2 linked regions of the Rattus norvegicus genome follow. Each later gene encodes a partner of the first gene's protein in a complex. Links are inferred from orthologs where the notes say so. Each region holds a gene or a part of one and is shown on either strand. Other genes may lie near its edges. The genes, in order: Eif3i and Eif3l.

Region 1 (2,802 bases):
TGGGCACCAGGCAAAACCACAACACATATGACATAGCGTGTTGCATGTGTATTATGTATGTGCTATGATACACAGGGGGGTCAGGTAGACAGTTTTCAAGTGTTGACTCTCTTTCAACATTTGGACCGGAGGGTTAAACCAGGTTACCAGGCTTGTGGGGTTACAGGCCGTTGTGAGCTGCCCAACATGGGTTTCCTATGCCCAACATAGGAAACCAAGAGCCACCCACGCCACACCCTCGATTCCTTGGTCATGGCTTTCTGTGGAGCCCCAGAACCTGTGTCTTCGGTGAAGTAATCCCCAGTTCCCCTGGAGATTTCCCTCCCTGCTGGGTTTCCTCACCTCTCTTCCTCCTCAGGCCCTTTCCTGTGCTGGTCACGCCCACCTGAGCCATCAATTAGGGATAAGAGGGTAGGGGGAAGGTTCTTTGCCCACAGCCTGGCTTCTTGAATGTGGTGCAGTGGTTCTAAGCCTCTTGGATAAAGATGTCTACCACACAGGTGAGCCCGAAGCATGCAGAGTCTGGGTGCCGAGAGAAGACTCCAATAATAAAAGTATTCTTTATGATCAGCCACTCGAGGCTCAGTGAAGAGGGAAAAATGGTCAGGCTGCACAAAACGTCTGACAAGGAACTATTTTTAACAAACTAATTTATTCTTCAGAGTCTAAAACCTTCTGTGAGCAGCTTCCCGATTGTGGAGAGAGATCCAGCCCCTCAGGCCTCAAACTCGAACTCGAAGTACTGAGGGTCGAAGTAGTGGATGCGGACATAGCCGTCTTCGCCACCGCTGCTGTAGCTGGAAAGAGACCGACAGTCAGCTGCTGCTGTGGGAGGGGAAGCCTGCGCAGCCACAAAGCAAATGGGCAGAGACCCCCGGCCGCTGGGCTGTTTCCTCAGTGGGGCCATACCTCTTGCCATCGGGATGGAAGGCAACACTGTTGATAGGTCCAAAGTGGCCCTTGACTCTTCCAAACTCTTCCTCAAAAGCCAAATGGAAGAACCTGGGGTAGGGGAGGGGGTAGAGGAGACCCAGTTATTCCAAAAGGCACCGAGGCAGCATTCTACAAAACGAAGACTACTGAGGTAGTATTTTATGTAACAAAATTAATAAAGTAGAGGAATTAGGATAAAGGAGACATAAGACGAAGCAAACTACGAAGGAAAACTATGCAAACATCTGCCTCAATACACAGCTGGCAGTGCTCTAAAGCTCTCATAATATTAATTCATTTACTTAACATGCACAAAGGTGCATTACTGAGGTGAGCAATGTCCCACTAAACAGTCGAGAATCCCGGATACGGAGAATGTCATCTAGGCCCCCAGGGTTCACGATCCCTGCTGTTGTTTACAAACAGGGTCCCCTGTAGCCCAGCAGAGCAAGGAGCTGAGCTAAAGCCAAGGATGACCTTGAGGCTGGTGTGAGGCGAGCGCCTTAGCCAGCTGTATGTGCAGCTGATTTCATGACCCCACCTGCTGCACTGGACATCTGTCACGTTCCCTTTGATCCTCAGTGGTCAGGAGTCTGCTTCCTTCCCCTTACCTGGCCTCAAACTTGCCAATCCTGGTGGAGGTTGTGGTCACATCCATGGCTTCCTGACCACCTCCCAGCACCACCTAAAGGGAAGAAAGATCAGGGCAGCCAGGACTTAGGTACAGGCCTGTCCTCTGCTTTTCTGCTTATAACATCTCTCCACACAGTGGGAGGATCGTCAGGGAGGGGGTGAGCGGCCACTTCAAGGACCTTCTGCCACAAATCAGTCAGCACTGTAACCATGGTAGGAGTTCCTTTCTACCTGACACCATTTTCCCCATCTTACAGCCTAATTGTTGGGCAAACATCCAGACCCTAGACGCTTTAGCAGGAGGCCTGGACAGGGTCTTCTTACATGGTCATAGTTGGGAGAGAGAGCAGCCGAGTTGACGGGACGTTCTGTTCGGAAAGTCTTCTGATGTTCAAGACTTGTGGAGTCGAAGAGCTGGGAGGGAGGGGGAGAACCTGTGATGGGCACCTTTCCCGGCAGGTCGAACCGGTTGAATATGCATCAGGAGGGCAAGTGACTAGACCCCTACCCAGCTCACCTTAGCTGTGTTGTCCTTGGATGCGGTGACAAACATGGTCATGTCTCTAGACAACTGGATGTCATTGATCTGCCGGGAGTGTTCCTTAACGTTCACCAATACCTCTCCAGACTGGAGGGGGAGGACCAGTTAGACCCACGTGCCCGAGTCCAAGCCGCCATTCCCCAGAAGCCCAAGACCAGCTGAACTTGACTTGACACCTTTCTTACCCTCAACCTAATCTCTGACCCCTAGTCCCTCCCGCAAGCCTTACTTTTGGTACTGAGCTTGACTGACTCCACGTACTCTGTCACTGAGCTCAACCCCTGGCTCTTTTTTTTTTTTGGTTCTTTTTTTTCGGAGCTGGGAACCGAACCCAGGGCCTTGTGCTTCCTAGGTAAGCGCTCTACCACTGAGCTAAATCCCCAACCCCCCCCCCCCCCCGGCTCTTTTTAATTAAAACAATTTTGTGGATGGGTGTGTGCCTGCATGTGTATATATACATGTGTCTGTGCCCACAGCTGAGAGGAGAGCCTTGAATCCCCTAGAACTGGAGTCACAGATAGCTGTGAACTGCCGAATGGGTGCTGGGAAAAGAACTCAGGTCCTCTGCCAGAGCAGCAAGTATTCTTAACCATCAAGTCATCTCTCCAGGCCCAGATGGCTTGCATTTTTTCAATGTGAGGCACAGCCCCACCAAGCTGTCTAAGGTCGGTCCACGCGCAGTTGCAATTTCCTTT
Region 2 (3,825 bases), on another chromosome or scaffold:
AACCAACTCTATCAAAGAAGTCCCAGTGTAGAATGGAGGGCAGCTAACTAAGAAACTCTCAAGTGAATCCAGAGGAATGTTTGTGAACTGCTCGGCCACAAATGGAGCATCTGTATCACACCCCCTTCACCCAAGACCACGGAGGAGGGGGGTCAGAGAGATTGTAAGGGCTCTGGAGCACAGTAGTGTCCCATGGCAGGGTCCCTGTGCATGAACTGACAGCAACTGTGGTTTGCTGCCAGTCAACATTCCTCCATGGATCAGGGAGGAGCTCAACAGCCCACACCCCTGGCTGAGGGGCCTTTAGCGGCTGATGGCTTCTGAGGGCCAGTTTTCAGTGTCTCCACACCCATGAGCATGTGGGAGCACAACTACTCCCTGGGCTATGAAATAGAAACGAGTAATAAAATAAAAATTAAGTAAACAAAAGATACAGAGTTAAGAGGGTTGGGGTCTGGGAGGAGTTAAGAGGGAGGAGTAGGGAGAGAACATGAAGATACTTTGCACACATGCATGAAAATCAAATGATTAGAAACAACATCACACTGTTTTAAAAAGACAGAACAGGCAGGGGTGGTGTTCCCGTAACCCCAGAGCCTGAGCTGCTGTGAACAGGGAGACAGTAGCAGGCCACAGCCATCAATGGAGTTCCTAAACAACAGCCCCTGTGACGCCTCTAGAAGGGAGAAGGCAGGCGGGGGTGTTCAGAGAAGAAGCTTATAAAAGACCGAAAAGAAATTACCGAGTCTATCTACAGCACAGCAGGGCACTATTTTATATCACTTTATAGCTACAAAGATCTAGGAGACCTGGGTGGTGGTGGAGCACACCTTTAATCCCAGCCCTCGGGAGACAGGCGGATCTGAGTTTGAGGCCAGACTGGTCTACAGAGCAAGATCTAGGACAGCCAAGACTACACAAAGAAATCTGTCTTGAAAAACTAAAAACCAAACCTACGAACTCAAAGGACAGGTTGAAAGTTTTCAACACAAACAAATGATAAATAGTTAAGGATGAGAAACACTAAGATTTTCTTTTGAGACAGGGTCTCTCTACATAGCCCTGGCTGTCCTGGAACTCACTCTGTAGACCAGGTTAGCCTCAAACTTAAAGATACACCTGTCTCCGCTTCCCATACACAAAGATTAAGATTGAAGGTTTGTGTCAGCAAACCCAGCTCTGATTTCTATCTCTCTTTTTAAAATCTAATTACCACATATCCCACAAATATACCCAATTTAAACTGTACTGAAGTGAGGTAGTTTAAGAGTAGCAAATTTTGGGTGGTGTTTATGGAGAACTGTTGGCACAGGTGCTGAGCAGTGGGCTGCCTGGTGAGACAGACTTCTCTTACCATTTCATACTTGTATGTGGTCCTCTGGAACATACTCTTGGTCCTCTGGATGTACAGGAGGATGTTGGCAAAGACGCGGATAGCATCCTGGTATCGACGCATCATTAAATATGCAAAACCAACATAATAGTAGGTGGTGACCTGGCACTCAGGCACACGGGAATACATGCTCTGCAAAGAAAGGTGGAAGCAGTAGCCATGAGTCCTGACTCATCCCAAACAGGGTGAAGTCATCAGGGCTCAGTGGCAGCAGAGGTAAGTGCCTTTCTGTGAGTCTGAAGACAGGCGGGTCTACATCAAGTTCCAGGACAGTCAAAGCTATACAGTGAGACCTGTCTCCAAAACATAAAGACAAACAGACAGACATTAAAAACCTAAGTGTCAAGAGAGGAGAAGGTGAGAAGCCATGGCAGGTGATGTTAAGATTCTGCTCTGTGTATTTACAGGTTGTTATCAATGTTCCTAAGGGATGGATGGTACCAGGCTTTGTATGTTTAAGTGGGCAATTATATCTTATCAATTGGGTCAAAGATTATTGTGTGTTCTTTTATGTGATGGTTTGAGTATAGGAAAGTGTGTGGCGGCAGGAGACTCTGGGCCACTGAGGAGTTGGGATGTGTTCCGCCAAGATATCTAGCAGATACGTTGGGCACCTTGGTGCAGGACCCAGCAAGGTAAAAGACACCTATACCTTTCTATTTTATATATTTTTACAACAACAGATGGAGAACCAATGTGATGGGCAAGAATCCACTAGTAATTTTAAGAGTTGAGAGAAAGTTTTTATTTTCCAAGAGGAGGCCAGCGCCATCTTAAGTCATGTGATATCTTAAGGGCGGGAATTCAAACAAAGAGAGGGGAAGCAGCCTGGGCTGGCAGACTGTCGGTCCCCTGCTGTGTGATATGTAATGGCAGCTCAGAGAGTTAAAGATTAAAAGCTGCTTTTTAAAGAAATTTGTTTAGAAAGTCTTTCAGGATACTCATATTCTTTTTAATTTGGGCTCCACGAGAATTCTGGGTTGAAATCCTAGTTAGACAAGCTACTTCTTAATTATAGGTATTATTAAAAGGTGATTAAATTTGTTTTTAGAAAGAAGAGAGTAAAGAGATTACCTGAATCAGGGGGAGAGTGAATGCAGACATGTATTATAGAAGTTATTAAGGTTAAATAAAAATATGTGGCTCCGGGTAGAGAGCTTAACAGATGGATATATTTTGGGCTAAAGTCCTGATTTTTAAGTTGCTTATTGGTTTTAGAATTGATAGAAGGTGTTTAAGTTTGTTTTAAAGAGAGTAAAGAGATTACCTGAATCACGTGGGGATTTTCATCTATGGTTCGGAACTTAGATAGGGAAAAATTGGTCACTAACTCCAAGTAGAGAGTTGTGATAATTGTCTGTAACACCAGGGAGAGTGAATGCAGACATATATTATAGAAATTATTGAGGTTAAATAAAAATATGTGGCTCCAGGTAGAGAGCTTGACAGATTGAGATATTTTGGGTTAAAGTCCTGGTTTGATATGTTCCTTATTGATATTGGAATTGATAGAAAGTATTTGGTTTGTTTTATGAATTACCCCGCTAAAGACCATATGGCTCGTTGATGCCGGCTAGCGAGGGTTTGTGGTTACTTTTGATAGTTAACACAACAGGAAGCTCGGATTCTCTTAACGTGGGCTCCACGGGAATTTTGGGTTAATTTCCTGATATCACAAAGTACAAAAGCCTATCAGGCTCATTGTTTAGCTTACTTCATTTTTAAAAAATTGTTTAGTCTTCATGATGGGTGTGACTTTGAGTTTTATGGTTAAATTATTACTCTGGGAGAGAGTGCAAGATACAAGCCTTTCTGGTTTCAGACTAAGGAACACAGTATTTTGGGAGAAAGATTTTTGTCTTTGTGCTTTTAAAAAGTGTTATCAGGCTCTGGAAACCTCACAGAGTCATACTGATCAGATTTGATAGAGGTAGGCCACCTGAAAAATTTATTCAGGAGAATCAAACTAAAAGATATCTCGATTCTAAATGTTTGTCTTGAGAGTTATATGTTACAGAGTGTGCCCACTTGGATTCCTGGTCTCAAGGACTTTCAGCTGGGTCCAGCCAGACACATCGGCTACAGCATTTGCTTCATTCTTCCTACCTCCCTACGCCCAAGGATATCTCAACGCCCATGTACAGCTTGAAGAAGTTATAGAGGAGTTGTCGCCCTAATTCCCTGGACTTTGTTGGGGCTGAAAGTGGTTATTCTAAAGTTGTTTTTATGAGGAATTTAAAATTGGTTGTAATTTAACAGCTAGATTGAATTGTACAGTCATAATCTCATTTGGTAACTAAGCTTAAATCATCTTTGTTTGGGTATAGAATTTATTTGTCAAAAAAGTTTAAAAGTACAAGGTTTAGAGCCAGTCCTTTTATTGTTGTCATTACAAACTTCTGAGTTGATTACACCTGTGAGTTAAGATTCAA

The links.
Region 2: Eif3i (region 1) and Eif3l share a complex: the UniProt entries of both Homo sapiens proteins name them as parts of the eukaryotic translation initiation factor 3 (eIF-3) complex. The link is inferred for Rattus norvegicus from reciprocal best matches to the Homo sapiens genes EIF3I and EIF3L.

The regions. Positions count from the first base shown.
Region 1 is NC_086023.1:147,218,824-147,221,625, forward strand, and holds the end of Eif3i (eukaryotic translation initiation factor 3 subunit I), read right to left. Parts: intron 2,195-2,802; coding exon 2,084-2,194; intron 1,981-2,083; coding exon 1,891-1,980; intron 1,619-1,890; coding exon 1,545-1,618; intron 1,003-1,544; coding exon 910-1,002; intron 798-909; coding exon 716-797; 3' UTR 634-715; downstream 1-633. UniProt on the Homo sapiens protein: Component of the eukaryotic translation initiation factor 3 (eIF-3) complex, which is required for several steps in the initiation of protein synthesis.
Region 2 is NC_086025.1:112,535,850-112,539,674, reverse strand, and holds part of Eif3l (eukaryotic translation initiation factor 3 subunit L), read right to left. Parts: intron 1,526-3,825; coding exon 1,355-1,525; intron 1-1,354. UniProt on the Homo sapiens protein: Component of the eukaryotic translation initiation factor 3 (eIF-3) complex, which is required for several steps in the initiation of protein synthesis.